Macaca mulatta: one gene and its partners. The protein of the gene in region 3 purifies or fractionates together with the protein of the main gene of each other region. This does not show direct contact. Links are inferred from orthologs where the notes say so. Each region holds a gene or a part of one and is shown on either strand. Other genes may lie near its edges.

Evidence for each region. Proteins that work in one complex are often made in the same cells at the same time.
Region 1: the proteins of MED20 (region 3) and MED9 purify together in Homo sapiens (affinity purification with mass spectrometry; 6 studies listed by BioGRID and IntAct, with this or other methods). This does not show direct contact. The link is inferred for Macaca mulatta from reciprocal best matches to the Homo sapiens genes MED20 and MED9.
Region 2: the proteins of MED20 (region 3) and CDK8 purify together in Homo sapiens (affinity purification with mass spectrometry; 8 studies listed by BioGRID and IntAct, counting the BioPlex papers as one, with this or other methods). This does not show direct contact. The link is inferred for Macaca mulatta from reciprocal best matches to the Homo sapiens genes MED20 and CDK8.
Region 4: the proteins of MED20 (region 3) and CDK19 purify together in Homo sapiens (affinity purification with mass spectrometry; 5 studies listed by BioGRID and IntAct, counting the BioPlex papers as one, with this or other methods). This does not show direct contact. The link is inferred for Macaca mulatta from reciprocal best matches to the Homo sapiens genes MED20 and CDK19.

What each region holds. Positions count from the first base shown.
Region 1 is NC_133421.1:19,031,570-19,036,367, reverse strand, and holds the start of MED9 (mediator of RNA polymerase II transcription subunit 9), read right to left. Parts: upstream 3,228-4,798; 5' UTR 3,196-3,227; coding exon 2,972-3,195; intron 1-2,971.
Region 2 is NC_133422.1:6,371,610-6,376,480, reverse strand, and holds the start of CDK8 (cyclin-dependent kinase 8), read right to left. Parts: upstream 3,228-4,871; 5' UTR 3,200-3,227; coding exon 3,072-3,199; intron 1-3,071.
Region 3 is NC_133409.1:140,266,985-140,271,141, reverse strand, and holds the end of MED20 (mediator of RNA polymerase II transcription subunit 20), read right to left. Parts: intron 2,169-4,157; coding exon 1,953-2,168; 3' UTR 228-1,952; downstream 1-227. UniProt on the Homo sapiens protein: Component of the Mediator complex, a coactivator involved in the regulated transcription of nearly all RNA polymerase II-dependent genes.
Region 4 is NC_133409.1:15,874,729-15,879,506, forward strand, and holds the start of CDK19 (cyclin-dependent kinase 19), read right to left. Parts: upstream 3,228-4,778; 5' UTR 2,905-3,227; coding exon 2,777-2,904; intron 1-2,776.

The DNA.
Region 1 (4,798 bases), on a different chromosome or scaffold from region 3:
GAGTGGGGTCTCTCTTCAGACTGCGAACTTTCTCTTAATCCCTCTTTTCAGTTATGATTCCCCCTACCTACCCCTGCAGTGTGCCTGTTGTCCCCCAGTCCAGGTACTCTCTGGCTTATTTGTTCCTAAGAATAAATCTTGGGAGAGTAACCTTTTAACCACCCACCAATTTAGAAGAAGGGTAGTCACCTGGCCGCTTGGAGGGGCTGGGAGGTGGGACAGGACTGCTTCTTAAACAGACTTCAAGTAATCATCCTGTTCTTAGACCCACCTTCACCCCTATTTCCAGGGGGTCCTTGCACTAGAGTTCCTGAGATCTGGGGGTAGGCCATGTTTAACAAGCCAGCTGCTTAGGAGTTGGTAGATGAATTAGCACTGGTCATTCACTTTGTAGCGATCATCTCCTGTCCTATTCTTTTCGGTTTTATGCTTTTTATTTTTGAGATAGGGTCTCGTTCTGTCACCCTTGCTAAAGTACAGTGGCATGATCTGGGTTCAAGTGATCCTCCCACTTCAGCCTTCCAAGTAGCCAGGACTGCAGGCACACACCACGCCTGGCTAATTTTTTTTTTTTTGTATTTTTTGTAGGGATGGGGTTTTGCCATGTTGCCCAGGCTGGTCTTGAACTCCCAGGCTCAAGCGACCAGCTCACCTCAGCCTCCTAAAGTGTTGGGATTACAGGCATGAGCCACTGCATCTGAAGGTTTTATGTATTTTTTTTTTAAGTCCCTTCTGTGTCCCTTTAGACGAAACAGAGACAAGCACATGTGATCAGCCCACTAGGTTTCACAGGTACGCTCTTGAGTACATCTCCCAACAATCCTATGACATAAGCATTCCCATTTCATAAGAGAAAAACAGGCTCAGAGAAGCTAAGCTACTTGCCCAGGTCACCCAGTCAGCACATTATAGAGCTATTACATAATCTAAACCTCTCTTTTGAGGTCCACTATGGACATATTAGAGATAAGAAGATTATGGCCTAGAAAGGTTAGACATTTATATCAATATTAGAAGGCATGAAAATGTCAGTATACAGATTTGAACTCAGGACTGTCTAACTTCAAAGCCTCTTCTCTGTAGTATAACTTACTACTACATCTTTAAGGCCAGCCCAATCCAGCTGCTTTACCAGGGCTCAAGAATATACTCTTGGGGGGTTCAAGAGCTGTCTTTGTGAATGTGTACATTTTGTGTTTTCCTTTTTCCACATTTTTCTTAAAACCAGTAAACTGGGGTTAATCTGACTAAACCCTTTATAATCCGGCACTGCCCTGGGATTATAGGGGCTCCATACGTATTTCTGTCTGTGATCATTATCACAGGCTCACAAAAACTGAACAGGCTGTCTTATCCCAGAAACATTTTTTTAAATTTATTTATTTATTTATTTATTTTTGAGACAGAGTCTTGCTCTTGTTGCCCAGGCTGGAGTGCAACGGCATGATCTCGGCTCAATACAACCTCCACCTCCCAGGTTCAAGTGATTCTCCTGCCTCAGCCTCCCGATTAGCTGGGATTACGGGCACCCACCACCACACCTGGCTAATTTTTGTTTTTAGTAAGAGACAGGGTTTCACCATGTTGGCCAGGCTGGTCTCAAACTCCTGACCTCGTGATCCGCCTGCCTTGGCCTCCCAAAGTGCTTGGATTACAGGCATGAGACACCACGCCCGGCCCTTATAAACAGTAAACACCAAGTGAAGCCAAATGAAGCCAGGGTCTAATGTGAGAACAAAGCCTTTGTAGTTATTTGAAAAGTGGCAGAAGAGCATCAGGTCATCCCACAGCAAGTGAATCTAGTTTGCTTAAACTCAAAAGTGGGTGGGCCACTAACGGTCAAGACCTTCACGTTGTAACAATTCCGTTTCAGTAAAACAGTGAAGAGCACATTCATGTTCACCTGAATGTTACTGGATTCGTAATTTTCTTTTAATTTACTTTGTGGTCTTTAATGGCTGAATAAGAGTTATAAGCCTAAGGGTTTACACCTACTATCACGTGGATATAGAGTGAAGTAACATAATGAAAATAATTTACAGCCTAGGCAACACGACTAAATTCCATCTCTACAAAAAGTACAAAAATTCGCTGGGTGCTGTGGCTCATGCCTGTGGTTCCGGTTACTTGGGAGGCTGAGGTGGGAGGATGGCTTGAGGCCTGGAGGTTGAGGCTGCAGTGAGACGAGATCACGCCACTGTACTCCAGTCCGGGTGACAGAGCGAGACCCTGTCTCAAAAAAAAAAATAATAATTTAGGCAAACACTGGGATCAGTAAGACTTTCGTGCTTTTGTTTTTGGTTTTTCCTTTACAGAGTCACTTTGAAAACTCAGGCTACCCTAAAGGCTGGCCAAAAGGATGACAATTATCTCCTTTGGTACTGTTGGAACAAAGTCAGTACAGGTGGGTCTAATCATCTCAGGCAACTTCTGTGTTTTTGCTTAGTCTAATATTTCCCATCGCCACCGCTCCCCTCTCAATCTTTTTGAATTATGGGTTATTCCCAATCATGTCTTTTTTTTTCCTTCTATGCCCCTTTTACTGTGTCCATCCCATAGCACTTGGCAGTGTCCCACACAGGGAAGATGATGCTTATCTGTTGAGTCTGTTGAAATAAGGAACTAAAGTGAGTATTACTAACATTAAAGGTGAGAAAACTGAGACTTAAAGAGATTTAATTTGCTCAAGATCGATGGGATGCACGTTTGAGCCGCTGGACAAGAGTCTGTATGTAGTCTCTAAGCTGGCTTCATTCTTAAGGATATCGCACCTCTCGGGGCTCAAATCGTTTGCTTAACTCATGGAATGTCTCTGTGGTCTTGGGAAAGGCCTCTTCCCGCTCTGGGTCTGAGTTTCCCCATCTGCGAAACGGGGGCGTGCCCTAGAGCGCCAAGGCCTCTTGAAGCTCTGAAACGGCTGAGACGAGAAGCTGGAGGGAGTATGGGGCCTGGTCCTCTCCTAGGTTCTTACCATTTGATGATGCTGTGAACCAAAGGTAAAAAGGAGTAGTTCTCTTCCTCCCTCGCGCGGGCAGGTGACTGAGGCCGTGGCGCCGGCGACTGCTGCGGCTGAGGCGCAGGGACAGGCGGCGGCTGAGGGGGCGGCAGCGGCTTGGTGTCAGGCAGCGGCTGGTCGGACGTTGGCGGCAATGCATCCTCCGCCTGTCGCCCGGCTGCCACCCCAGCAGAGGCCATGGCTCCGGGGTTAGGTTAACCCAGAGGTCGGGTCGCCGACAGCGTCGCGAACTCTATACGTCACCACCGCGCGCCCTGCAGGGGCGCAGTGTGGAGGAAGGCTCTGAGCATGCGCACTGGGCACTCGGCTGGCAACGGGGCGGAGGCGGGGTGGGGAGACTGTTGCTAGGCGACGGGCCGTGGGTGGGTCTGGGGTGCCTGGTTTTGGGTTGAGTCAAGACCCAAAATTATTTAAATATTATTAAATAGTGAGAAATAGGGGATTTATTTCAGAAATAACAATTTTTTTTTTTGAGACGGAGTTTCGCTCTTGTTGCCCAGGCTGGAGTGCAGTGGCGTGATCTCGGCTCAAAGCAACCTCCGCCTCCCGGGTTCAAATGATTCTCCTCCCTCAGCCTCCCAAGTAGCTGGGATTACAGGCATACACCACCACGCCCGGCTAATTTTGTATTATTAGTAGAGACGGGGTTTCTTCATGTTGATGGTTTCGAACGCCCCACCTCAGGTGATCCGCCCTCCTCGGCCTCCCAAAGTGCTGAGATTACAGGCGCAAGCCACCGCACCTGGCCAGAAATAACAATCTTCTTATTCCTATTCACACGATGAAGAGGGCCCCAAAGCCACAAACACAGGAAGCCTTGAGGTCAGTAAGGCGCAGCCTGGCCCAGTGCACCCAAGTCTGGAGAGGAACCACTGGACCTGCAGGAGGCGTAGACAGCACTTACCTGCTGGCTGAGGCACCAAACCCGGCCCGGCCCACAGTGCGAGACATCGAGACCTCCTGCTTAGCCCTAAGGACGCAGAGGCAAAGGGATTGCGGTCCCTTCAGTGCTGCATGGCTGCTGAGAGTCTGATAATTCAACTCAACACACTTTTAGTATGCACCTGCTGGATGGCCAGGTGTAATGTGTGGTTGCAGGGAGGCTGTCCTTGCTTTCAATACAAGGTAGAGGGGATTCGTGCCAGGAATAAATATCATATCCTGGAAGAACGACAAAGTCAGGTACTCTCCATACCTTCGGGCCAGTTCCTCAAACCCCTAGGTCCCAGTTTCCTCACCCCTAAAATCATATTTAGTTCAGAGTCATGGCAGAGCCTAAACTGCATTCTAACTTCACATTCGTGGCTGACCCCAAAAGGTCTTGTTGGCATGAGGACTCCCTAGGATCGTAGGCCAAAGATGGGTTTATGGTTATGCTTCTCAAAACAAGTTTGCTATGAGGGCTAAGTAGCAATTTTCTGCGCAATGGGGACAGCCACCCTAAGCTTAGCTAGTTAGAAGACATGAGTGGGGAAAGCTGTCAACTGGCGAGCCCATTCTGCTGTAATCCACCATCATGGGCAGTGCAGAGAGGCGAGGAGGTCCACATCCACATAGTACTATGAACAGGAGCCTTAAGAGCAAGGTGGCCAGGGAAAGGATCACTGCTGATATTTTCAGGCACATTGGGAGGGCTGTGTGGAGGCAGATCCTTGCCGAGTAGGACCATAGACAGAAGTGCTGTTGGAGGGTCCGCTGTACAGGTAAAGGGCCTCAGCACAGCTCTCTGCAGCAAGAGCTGCCCACGATGCCCCAGAGAGAGAGCAAAGGGAGGGAGTGGGT
Region 2 (4,871 bases), on a different chromosome or scaffold from region 3:
TTTGGAACATAGATTATAACAGATTAAAAACCCTATTAAGAAATTTCCTTTTGTTTTTCTTTTTTGAAGAAAAATCTCTTATCCCAAATTGATATTTTAAATTATCCAAACATCCGGTGCAAATATTGAAAGTCTAGAATTGAAAAACACAAATTGTTTTCTGTCTTCTAATGCTTTCCTACTCTTTAAAACAAAATTAGTTTTGGTTGCCTAAATTCTGCAAAGACGAGATACAATCAACCCAGAAAGAAAATGAACCCCCCTGATTCCCACTGAGTACCCTTTAAGTGTTCAGACACAAAAGACAATATCTCATTTATGGCGACACTAGTGAGAAGAAATTAATCCCAGGATGTATTGTGTATGTCTTTAAACTCTATTATAATCTGAAATTCACACAGTAATAAAAGGTCCCTTTTCCCTACCATGCAATCATGCCTCAAGTAAGTCAAAAAATGAATCTTTCAAGCTATTTTATTTCCTAAAACTTAATAATTTAAGCAGCTAACTCCTCTGGTCTAAATTATTTTACCAATTGTTCATGTTCTATGCTCACTGGGGCAACTGAAAGGATACAACGTTTACATACATTCATTTCAATAGTCAAATATGTCTAAACCAAGCTTATTTGTGTTATTTCCTTTTATAGAAATTCTCAGGTTCTCCTTGAAGGTGTTACCGTCTGAGTTCCTAGAGAACAAATCTCAGCTGCAGAATATATAATGTAATTTGAAAGTAAATCAATACTAGAAACAAATTATTTGATCATCATCTTATTATAAAAGATTAAACAGCCACAAATTTTATTTTACCAGGACTAAAATGCATTAAATTACATTTCACTGACATAAGATCAAAAGAACCTCATAAATAGTATGCGATATTTTACCAGAGTGAGGTTACAAAAAAGAAGTCAAACTGAAAAATCCCTGTAATTTTAAAACTCTCCAAAACTATCTCTAAAAGATAGTAATTTTAAAACTCTCTTGACATTTGATCCATTAAAAACAGAAGTTCATCACATAAAGAGAATCATTAAAGACTGATGGAAAACAAACGCCAAGGATTACAAATAATAAGCTCTTTTTTCCAAAATGCAATGTTACTTTTCAGCTGTCACGGATGACTAAGAATGTCCATACATTATACCTTCAACTATCTTTAAATTCAAAGATATTGAAATTATTCTTTCAAATTATTCTTAACAACCTAAATTAAAACCGGACCATGGAGATATAAAATATTTGCTTAAGTACCTCCTGCCAATACACAGTATTAGTTTTCTAATAAAAGTACAACGTTAAAACAAATATGCATATTTTATTAGCTTAAGTTCATAGTTTTTGAAAACAGAAGCGGCTTCTCTCACACAGATTAAAAATAATGCAAAGGCGCTAGAATTTTATATAACATGACAGTGTGGTCAAATGCACTGTAATGTCTAATCTCATGGGATTGGGGATTTTATGAATATGCCCAAAATTACATAATACTGGGGGAAGGAGAGATGGTTTAAAGCTTTTGAGAAATATTGTATGGTAAGTTATCAAACATAATTTTTAAAATATATGTCATTACAGAGTAAAACTTCAACAATAAGTCTAATTAGACATCAACAGAGTCAGCAGTATCTCCAGACGCTGATTTCTCCAGTGCTAAAAAGTACTTTTAAATACGTGCGGCGCCCAGAGTATCAAGTTTTCAAATCCAAATCCCTACCTTCTGCCGATCTGTTCCACTTTATTGTGGCATAAAAGCACTAAAATACATATTCCAAATTAATGAGAACTCTTATCTTCCTCGTAGAGTCCATTGTAAACACTTTTAGAAAGATATTTCAGTAAATCTAAGAAAAATGTTGAATAAATACACACTTTCCTTTCCAACATCCAGAATACTAAAGTATTTATAAATATGCGCCCCCCTCCCCCACACTAGGGAACTTCAGCTTTATGAATTTTTTTTCGTGCTAATGTAGTCTGAACATACTCTCCTAATCTGAAATTTTAAGTGATTAAACATCATATAGCAGGTAACTAAACTGGAATGTTCCAGTAAAGCTACTTCGTTTCTAATAAAATCCAAAGATTATATAATAAGCTTTGACTTTTCAATAATTTTCTATTCTGTCAAAGGCAACAGAGACAACATCCATTTTACAAGAAAACATGGAGTTAATAAAATATATATTATTCCCCCCCACTAAGAACTGCCTTCTCTTTTGTCAATATTACAAGACATTCATCTACTGACAAAGAGAAAAAAACGAACAATTCACTTGCCTGTTAAGAAACTAAATTGGAAGCATTACCACTCATAGGTTTAATTAAGTTGTTACTAGGGAAGAATATTTAAAGCAAAGGGATTATTTAAAGTTCACTGCCAGCCGCTAAATTTGGGGGAAACAGCCTCAACGAGATAGTCCCTATGTCACTTGTCTTCTTCCCCACCACCCACCCTGCACCAAACCCCCATTGTTCTATGTAAAAATTCACAGCTAATAATATCTAAATAGCAACTGCAACATGTATGGTGCAGATGATCCGTATGGGGAACTCTCTCCAGAACCACATTCACTCGCTGCCTTCCTTCCCTCAAATAAAATACAAATTTGATAAAAAATCGATCACAAACTGGGGGGGGAAAGGATCACAGCCTTCCTTCTAGACCGATGGATGACACTCCCGAGGCGGGTGAGGAAATCCCCAGAAGGTTACCATAATAAATCGACCAAGGAAAAAAAAACAAACAGAAACATTTCACCCGGCGTTTTAGAACGCATTTTTTCATAAATCAGCTTTGAAATCCTTGAAAAGTATATAGCCCACGGTGCAGAGGCTCCTCTTCCCTCTTAGCACCGAAGCACAACACAGATGCGGCACGCAGGATTTCTTGTGGCTTTGGATCCCTTGTACACCACTTCCTCCCCAAACCTTGCTGGCGGAGCCAGAGGCCGGCGTCGAGGAAGTCAGAGCCCGGCACCCCGGCGGCCCGCTCTCCCTCCGGGCTACCTGCCTCGGCCTGCGGGAGCGCCGCCCAGCGCGGACACCGGCCCAGACGCACACACTCACCCATCTTTCCTCTTGGCTTTGTAGACGTGACCATAAGTGCCTCGGCCAACTTTGCAGCCCTCGTATTCAAACAGGTCCTCGACCCGCTCCCGCTCGCTGCTCAGCTTCACTTTAAAGTCATAGTCCATTGTCACAGCCTCCGAGGCCGGAGAGCTGGGTCGGGGGGCCGGGGGGCAGGGGTGGGGACCGGGGAAGCACGGGCAGCCGCAGCCCCCGGGAACCCGCCCGCTCTACGCCCGCCGGCCGCAGCACCAGCCCGACTGATGCGGCAAGAGCAGGAGGAGGCCCCGCGAAAGCGCCGGGGACATCCAGGGGGGCAGCGGGGCAGAGGCCGGCCGGGGGTGGAGGAACGGGGAGGATCCCCCGGCGAAGCAGAGCCGAGGGACGAGGGCTGGGGGTGGGGAGCGGTGTCTCTGCCCTTGTCCCCGCGGGCTCCCTGGGCGCCGGCTCCGCCGCTCTCTCCGGTCGCGCGTTCTGCTCCTGCTGCGGCGGGAGCGGCGGGGCGGCCAGGCGGGCTCTCGTCCTCTCACACGCGCACTCACGCCTCACGCGCTCACACACACGCTCACACTCACTCACTCACTCACTCACTCTCCCATACACTCAAACAGAAAGGCAGCGCCGCACAACAGCCGGTACCTCCTCAAAGAGAGGAGGAGGGAGGGCACTCGCGGAACACGGCCGCGGCTGTCGCAAAAACGTCGCGAAGCCTCGGGCTGCCTCCGAACCACCCTCCAACCCGCTCCCGCGGTGGCTGGCCGCCCCTGCTGGCGCTGGCACCCTGAGGACCGTGTGGAGGGAGCAGGGGAGCCGCTGCCCAAAGCTGCCGCAAAACGCAACACGTGGGACCAGCCCCAGCGGTGGCCGGTTCCGAGACTACAATACCCAGAATGCATAGGCCGCCGCCGCTGCCGCCTCTTCTACGACTCCGCCCCACATGGTGGGAATATGGGAGCGTTGCATGTTGGGACTCGTAGTCTAGGGTGAAATTCGTTTCAATCACTTGGGGAAAATTTATTTTTATTTTTATTTTTATTTTTATAGCGATCTAACTAGAGTCTGATTCCAGCCATAAACTTGACCAAAGAGATGCACGTGGGAAGGAGAGTAGCTTTAGAAACACATTTTGTGCCACTCTGAACTCCAGATGTTAAAGGCCACTGTCATCTATAAAAGCGGATATATTTGTAAACAGCTCGCGGGCCAGCAGTTGGGGTACTCTTGGTGTTCACAATCTGATAAGGGCTGCACAATGATGTCAACATACTGACATTACAAGCTCCAGTAAAAGTGAATCAATGACTACTGTCCAAGCTACTTCTAAACATTGTTACTCTTGTGACAGATGACCATCCAACCTTTCCTGTCCATTTATAGGAAGTATTGAGTACAGTACAGCCTTCTGCGATGCTCCCCATAAGAACACCAGTTTCTAGCTATGATTACAGAAAGGATCTAAATCCATGGGAACTAGTTTGTTAATAATTTTGCGGTAGCAGTATGTCCTGCTTCAGGAGTCCTGCTTCAAGATTGATACTAATCTATCATTTTATCTTATCCCTCTTATTTGTCTGTTTTTAATTTTTGGTTTCCAATTGTTACCATTTCCACTAAAGCTCCCCACTTCCCAAAGGGAACTTTGCACTTTTAATGTGAACTTTTTAACACTTTTTTTCCACCTTTCCTGTGTTATTTATCAAATTCCGTTTCATCTTTTATTTCCTCTCCCTTGCTAGATCCTAAGTTGTTATAGGAAGTCATATTTGCATCTTCCATAAAACCTAGTGTCATGCCTTGATA
Region 3 (4,157 bases):
TTTTTTTTTTTTTTTTTTTAGCTTTTAGGGAACAGAGTCCCTCCTTACAATGCACAAGTCTAGAGAGTCTGTATTTACTACAATCAACTTCTGGAGATTTTCAGGAAATGCATTGTGTTCAAAATGTTGCCTATGCATTGTTTCATTCCATAAAAGCTGCAGCCTACAGAAAAATACAAATAAATAAACCTGGGTGAGAGCAAATGTAAATCAGGAGGCCAAAAACACAAGATCTGTGCATTTTATTTGTGTAAACAATATCTAAAACATACCTCAATATAAAAAACCAGAAACAAAATAACAAAAACAGGGCGTGAGAACAAAAAATACAGATGACAGGTTCTGTAGTTATGATACTGAATTGAGCTTCCTGTCAGCCAAAACTAGAAGGGAAACATGACCACTACCTGACTTTTGCAGAGGCTTTAGATCTGAGCACTTGGATCTGAAGACAGTTTCTCTTTAGATGTCTTCAAATAAGGGACAGTATCCTTGATGACAATACAGTACGTATATTAACAATTCTCCTAAGACCATCTCTGTGTATATCAAGGTTATACCTGGATGAATATTTCTGCAGCAGGCATGGGGTAGGCAGGCAATATGACCAAATATGTAGTTTGGATGCTCGAATGAAACAGAAGAAGGAGCTCAGGCAACCATGAAGCATGGTGCACGTATCAGGGTCAAATGTTCTAACCCTAAGATTGGGGTGCATGAGAACTGGAGAGGCCTCAATACTGAGACTTAGACGAAGGGTGTGGAATTAACTTCCTACTGTGACTAATCCAACTTAGCTCAAAGTGACTCTGAGATCAGCCCTTCTCGCAAGTCAATTCATAAACGAATGCTTTAGTTACAGGAGGTATTAACTGCAAACGAACAGCCAAGAGCATTCCTGGGCATGTCCATTGAGCTCCATGTAGCAGAGGCCATTAACTGGGTCTCAGCAACCAAATTCTCTTTCATCTTGTAGTCACAGCATCCCTGAGTCTTAACTCGGCACATGACTGCCCAGATAAGAGGCTCTATGTCCCAGCATCTCTTTCAGCAAAGTGTGGCCACAGTGATTTGAGCAATGCTCAGTCCTATCTTTTTTAAAAAAACATATCTTTTCTCTCTCTCTTTCCCCAGGAGAATGCAGATATGGAGCTGATGAGTCTTCTTTGATATTGTGGGTAAGAAAACATACTGGGAATGGCTGAATAAGACAGAAGGAAACCAAGTTCCTGATAACCTTGTAGAGTTAAATCTGCCCTAGACCATCTGATTACCTCTCTATTATTAGGTGAGAAAAAAACAAACTTCAATCTTACAGCAGTTTGGCCTGTGGCTTAACATATTTCACAACAGAAGGGAAAGATGTCAGAAGGAGAGTTCAAAGGACTCAGGCAACATCCTAGGAAAGTCAATTCGCAAATCACTTCAGCAAACAGGTCAGAAAATGGTAACTATCAAACCAGTTGTGCCTTCCACTCTATCTCCAGGATAGAAGCCCAGTTACATCCTCTGACAAAAGGAAGAGGCTCTTATTACAGCACAATCCAAACATAAAATGCAGCATGTTCACGGTGGGCCTGAGACAAATCCCCAATAGTTGAGGATACAGACTGTTTCCCCCACCAATACCAGGCAGGGACATTCCTGTCCTACCTTTCCCCTAAAGGAGGCAGGGTCCAAACTTCTCCATTCTTCATAATTACCATTCTTGAGGATAGGCCAAATCCAGTAAGGAATGAAATAAAACAGCTGATGGGGGGCTCTGTGTGAGAGTCAGGGGGTTGGGGAGGGGACTCCAGAGCCCCAGAACAAAAGCCACAGCTGGGAACCAGAGAAGGAGAGTAGATTCCATGTCTACCCTGGGTTTCTGGGGTCCGGGGACCTGAGAGTCAGCACCTGCTTCTCCTGTGGAGTACCCCTGGTGACAGAGCTCAGCTGGCAGCTGCTTATCCCTAACGAATCCCAGCCACCGGCACCTGCTGCTGCTTGCGGATCTTGTTGAAGAGTTCCATGTACTGGACCATGGTATCTGCTGGGCCGTAGACTGCATCATGTCTGTTCCCAAACACTGCGGGAGCGCCTGGTGTGTGGCTGCCTAGAAAACTCTGTAGGAACTCAAGCAGCAGGCTCCAGCAGTCACTAGCTACCACACAGGGGCCATACTCCACCTGGGAACCAAAAGCACAGAGAATGAGGGTGAATGAAGGCTAAGACAAGGTCTGCTTCTCTTGCACCTCCTGCCTCCTGCTCCCATCTTCCCCAACCCCAAGCTAAAGACACACACCTCCTAGCACAGTGTTGGTCCACAGGAAACACTCAACCCAAACACTGGGCTCAACACCCACATCTTTAGGCATCTTTGACATTTCTCTTTCTGGAGCTGTGCCAACCTGCAGCCCTCCCAGAGGATCCAGAAGCAGATCTGGGCCCCTTTTGATGATCTCAGGACTGTGTTGTCCCTGCTATGCTGGGTAAAGATTCAAGGAGAGCTCAAGAAAATTCTAAGAGACATGACAAAGATAAAGAGAAGGAAATGTGTGTGATGGTGTAAGTAGAGAGCAGAGTAGACACAAATGCTTATGAGTTTTTTTCAAGACCATATTTTACTCCCTAGGTAGAACCAACCTGGGCTCCAACCCTAAGAAAGAATTTCCCAAATAGTGTGGCATGGGCCAAAAAATATACATCTTAGGTTTTCTCCTTCTGCTCTCTTAATTATTTACTGGAGAGATGGCAGGGCAAAATTACTGGCAACCCTAAGGAGAAACAAGTAAATAAACAGGTGGGGTGTGTTTCTACTACAAGATTAGAAATGTGGAGGATAAACAGTAGGTCCTCAGTAGGTCTCAGCAAATCCAAGGTCTATCACAAGCTGAAAGGGTTAGGAAGTCTTGGTCCTAGAGGTTGCTGAGCAGAAACTACCACTAATGCCCTTTTCTCCAAGTGGGATTCTTCCTAGACTTTTCTATCCCCATGTTTCTACATTTTAAATCCCTACATAAATGTTGATCCTCCAGGAAGCATCACAACCAAAGTCAGCAGTGCTCATACTGGCTTGAATTCCCAGAGCAAACTGCCTCTTTTATGGCATTTTCAGACTAACTTCAAAAATAGTTTGTGTGTTTCGGCCTCACTCAATAAATAAATCACAAATTTTCAAAGGGTAGACCCTGCAAGCTTACTTGTTTTCTTATCTTAGTGCTGGGCACATTGTAAGTTGTGAACTTTCCCTGGTCCCAAAGAAGCCAGCTACTGCCACACTGCCACTCTCACTCCTTGTCACTATATATGTGTATGTATGCGCGCACACACACACACACACTCTCTCTCTCAGGGTCACAGATGAAGTGATCTCACACACAAACACCTCTTTCTCCATGAAAGAATGCAGACAGCATGTCAAAAGGAAAAGCATATTTTTGCTTCCCAACTTTTGATACCTATCTTAAAGCATACTAAGGAGAGCTATATGGGCATATGTGATTTAGGGCCCACCTCCAGAAAATTATTCCAAGAGTTGTCTTGGTCTGCTCCAGTACTTCTTCTCATGGGTGACTGTCCCTCCATATCATAACTCACCTGCCTTCCTTGACTATCTTTTCCCTTCTCTAGCAAGCCACCCTTCCTAATGAAGCTTTCTGCTTGCTTTGAACCCAGCTTCCCACTTCCTACTTCCCACCTTGTGTTAGAGAGTCTCAGTCTCTGAAGGATAAAAGATTCACGGAGAGAAAGCACAGATGCCTTGGAGTCCGGAATCAGGTAGGCATAAATATCTGTTGAAACTGAGAAGGACTGGAGGCCAGGTGTGGTGGCTCATACCTGTAATCCCAGCACTCTGCGGGGCTGAAGTGGGAGGATCACTTGAGCCCAGGGGTTTGAGACCAGCCTGGGCAACACCTCAAGACCTCATTTCTAATTAAAAAAAAAAAAAAAAAAAGGCCAGGCGCGGTGGCTCAAGCCTGTAATCCCAGCACTTTGGGAGGCCGAGACGGGCAGATCACGAGCTCAGGAGATCGAGACCATCCTGGCTAACACGGTGAAACCCCGTCTCTACTAAAAAATACAAAAAACTAGCCGGGCGAGGTGGCGGGCGCCTGTAGTCCCAGCTACTCGGGAGGCTGAGGCAGGAGAATGGCGTAAACCCGGGAGGCGGAGCT
Region 4 (4,778 bases), about 120 Mb from region 3:
CAGCATTTTGGGAGGCTGAGGCAGGAGGATCACTTGAGCCCAGGAGTTCAAGACTAGCCCTGCCAACACAGCAAGACGCTGTCTCTACAAAAAATATTCAAAAGTATAAATATTAAATAAAAAGGGGAGTTGGGTCAAAAGCCTCTCTTCTTGCAAAACAAAAAGGTGAACAAATAACATTTTTAATTAAAGGTGAAAAACTCAGATGTAAATCTTGCATTTCCAGCTTGTTATAAATTTATGTGATATAATATTGCCTAAAGTCATACTTCAAGGGAAATAACTTAAGATTTTGCAAACTGTAGTATTAAACTTTTCTAATGATATATTAAGTTACTTCTTTCAATGTTTCTTCTAAAGACCTGAACAATGTTTTGGTTATATACTACATTATATATACCAAAATCATTTCTCTTTAATGTAACCTATGTGATGTCTGGCTCCCTAAAACAGCATTATGCATTTTCTGAGTTAACCAAAATAAAATCTGGAAAGAGCTAAACTGTAATCTACCATGATCAGAGTGTAAAATCCTTTACTATGCAAATCTGCCTCGCAGTTTAGAACAGTTAAAAAAAAAAAAAAATTTAACATGAACCCAAAGGACACAGATGTTCTTTCAGATTGCTGGTATCAATGAACATAAAACTAATCCCACTACCAACCCACAAGAGATGTGGGTGTTTACTGTAAAGTTGCAAATCTCAACCAGATCTTTCATCCAGGAAAAAAGCCTTTATTATGGTTTTTCTTATACATAACATAGTGATTTAAACTAACACTTTCAGACCCTGAGACTTTTTTTTTTTAAGAAAAAAAGAGCATTATATTTTGAAGACAACCAAACTAATCTTACTCTAGTAAAGAAGCTTTATTCATTCTAATTAACAAATTTCACTCAAAAAGGAAGTGTATTCGAATCAAGCACTTTATTAGAGGGGAAAAATATTCAAAAAATATAGAAGCAGGAATTATCTGGTTTTTGTTATAAGCCCATACTATTCAAATACAATTCAGAAGCAGAATTTTTAACTTCTCAAACGTTCCCTAATAAGAGAAAGCTATTTTAACAACAACAACAACAAAAAACCCCACTAAAATACATTTTTTAAAACCTAAAGTATATTACAAAGTTAGCATGAGGAGTATGGGAAAAACCCACCTCAGATTTATTAAGTGTCCAAACAGGAAAACTGGATGTGCTTTCCCCAAATATATCTGATAAAATTCCCACAAGAACACTAGTATAACAGGTAGAGTGGATATTCCAAAACCAAAATATGTTAATTATAGTAACTCACATTCTATGATAAGCATTCAAGGACACCTGGTAATTAAAGGAATTATGAGAAACAACTGAGTACCTTGAGGCCTGTTCAAGTTATTACAAGAGAAAAAAAAAACTCTGCAATAATAATCCTTTACACTTGGATAGTACTTTGCAATTTTCACGATACCTTATGACAAAACACTAGAGTTGTTTGTTTTATGAAATTAGTGCATACGCATACAACCTACTTTGGTCCTAGAGTTCATATACCAACCACATCAAATTATAACAGCGCGCACAAAGATAAGCAGCACTTCAAATTTTACTAATGTCATTGTGGCTGATCATCAGTGTATTCAGAAATATTCCGTTACAATCCTCTTCCGTAGAGTTTGACTCTCTTTAAAGTCTATGCTGGACAGGGTATCTTCCTGGGTCCCTAACCTTGGGGGAGGGTAATTCCTGCCAGGAAGCTGGTTCCACCGGCCCTGCTGTAGCTGCTGTCTGCCCTCCAGGACCAAGTAAGGATAGGCATTCTCAGTACTTTATTCAGCTCTTCTTATCTTAAGAGGACAATCAGTAAAGCCTTCCCAAGGTGTTCCTACAGTTCTCCCCCAACTCCTAGGAAAACAAAGGTTCAGGCCCAGCTTTGTCACTCTGTATTCCCTTCCTGATAATCTAGGTACTCGATAAGCCCCAGCCCACAGTCATCGGGCAGAGGATGGAGTGGAGGACATAATACCCAAGATAGCCAAGGGGCTGCGAGGTAAAGGGTGGTTAGCAGAGAACTGAGCCAACTCTTAAGTTACTGCTTGCGAAACGCAGCTGGCCCATCAGGTCTCCTTCGAAGGGGGAAGGTACGCAATTCAGAATGTGAGAATGAAAAATCCGGGACGCCGGGCATACGACAGGGATGGGAGTACCGCATAGAGGGGCCAACGGGCCGGCCAGCCCCAGGGGGCGGAGATCGCGGCCGGGGGCGGCGGTGCCCAGCGGGTCAGAGCCGCCGGGCTGGCGAGGACCCCAGGCCGTGTTCGTCCGACGGGCTCCCCGGCGAGGTTTCAAACCGCCGCCCCCGCGAGGCGCTCAGCCGATTGGAAGTTCCACAACGACCGTCACTACACAGGGCCGGAGCGGCAATTCCGCGGCGGAGCTCTGCCTGCCCGCTGCGTTCCCCCAAGAGACCAGACCCCAAAACTCCTCCTCCACCGCGGTCCCAACTCGAGTCCCGCCGCCGTCTCCGAGCACTCGGAGGGCGTCCCTCTGGGACGGGACCGACGCCTCGGACCGAGCTGCTCCGCGGGAGTTCGAGGGGCGCGACGGCGACCGCGCGGGGGAGGCGGGCGGAATGGGCGCCCCTCGGAGTCGGTGTCGGGACGCGACCCCGCGATCCCCTCCGCCTCGCCCATCGGGCACGGCCCGACTGGGATCCGACCCACCCATCCCGCCAGGTCGCGGGCAGGGCGAGGACCCGAGAGAGCCTACTCCTCCCGCCCCTGCTCTTACCCATCTTTCCGCCTCGCCTTGTAGACGTGCCCGTAGGTGCCGCGTCCCACTTTGCACCCTTCGTACTCAAACAAATCCTCCACCCGCTCCCGCTCCGCCGCCAGCTTCGCCTTGAAATCATAATCCATTGTCTGCTTCCCCCATAGAGGCACGGGACGCGGGGGCCGCCGCCGCTCAGTCCCTCCTCCTCCTCCCCCCGCGACCGCCGCTCCACTTCTCCAACAGACGCCTCTCGGGCGCGCGCGCGCGCCGCCCGCCGCTCCGCGGTCCGCCTTCAGCAAGGGACTCCTCGGCGGCCGCAGCAGCCACCTCCTCCACCTCTTCCTCCTCCTCCGCGACGGCGGCGGCGGCTCCCACAGGCACCCCCAGTCCCGCCTCCCCTCTTCATTTCCTTGTTTTGGAACCTGGTGGGCCGCGCCGTGGCTTCTTCGAGCTCATTAACGAACTCACCGGCCCGCCCCATGGTCGCGGGGCCTCCTGGGAAATGTAGTCCCGAAGGCCTCAGCGGCCAGGGCGGTTTCGCCGGCCTAAGAAATACAGCTCCCAGGTTACCTCGGGCCGCCACAGCCTCGCCCCCGACAAAGCATGCGCGCCTGCGTACCAGGGCCGCCCCTCCCCCTCAGGTAGCGCGGGGCTCCCGGTTGCTGTGAAGGTGGAAAGCTAGAAGTTCCAGTGTGCTTTCTGCAGTTCTCGGGGAGGCACTGGAAAGAAGTGCCTTACTTTAGTGGGAAGGGGATACTCCACTGTAACTAGCCTCACGCACAAAGCATAGAAAGCATTAAATCAGCACCTTGCTGAGGGCTTGGCTGCAGTAGCTTCGGAAGAGAGGGCTAGTGAGGACAGTTGTACCGCAGCTTGTTTGTTTTCTAGGGCAATGGGTCCGCCTATTGCCCCGCCCCCCGTCCCGCTGTTCATTGGCGGGGGCTTGAGAATGACGTCCTCGTTGGTGCGTGGGTATCCCCAGGCTTTGGCTTCTTTCCCGCTCTTGATTGGCGATTGGATGTGCTCGGTTCTTCCTGATAGGTTGATCTTTTTTCTTTACGATGCAAAAACCGTATTTCAAAAACTGAACCTTCAGCAGTTTCCTAGTGCCTGCTTTGGCCAGAGAAGAACATGCAACTTCTGAGCTCCGGCAGCCAATCATCATTTTCTTGGCGCTCTAGTCAGTTTTCTCTTAGCATATGCGGTTCGCATAACTAGGTTTGGCCATCTGTCTAAGAACAATTAAAAGTGCCTGGAGGAAGCCGCGTTTTAAAACTATCCTTTGGGTTGAATTTTAAAGGATTTTTTACGGTCTATGCATGGTGGAGAGGTTCTCCTAGAATATTTAAGAAAGCCCCTTTAGTTAGGGTGAACGTTGATTGATTTCATTGTGTTGGGGCTCAGGACACACTACCACAAATTATAACTGAAGGAGTCCAGAATATGCCACCCCAAAATATGCCACTCTGGCATATTGATGTCTTTCAGCAAAAATAAGATCCAGCCAACACAGGAAAATGCTTCACTTATCCCACTACTGCCTAAAATAAAGGATAAAACTGTCCCTTTGTAAAGAGAAATGTACATTTCTAAAGGAAATTTTCATAATTAAAGGAATCTGTACCAGAAAGAGAGCTGCTCCTAGTCAACTAGTATGATGAGATACTTTTATCTGCATAAACGTCAACCTTTATTCATCTTACGTTTTCTCCTCTTATCCTCCCTTAACTTGTCTCCACCACCCCCTGGAAGCCCCAAGCCCCACTTTTATTTTAAAGAGACTGGCCTTGCTGTGTTGCCCAGGCTGGCGTCCAACTCCTGGGATCAAGGATCCTCCTGCCGCAGACTCCTGAGTAGCTGGGATTACAGGTTCGTGCCACCACACCGGGCCCCCACTTCCTTTCTGAGGCCAGGTTGTAATGTAAGTGTCAAATATCTGGCCCTTCTTTGAGTCTCATATTTTGTGGGACTCTTGTGCATACATACATAATTAAAACTGTTTTTCTCCTGTTAACCTGGC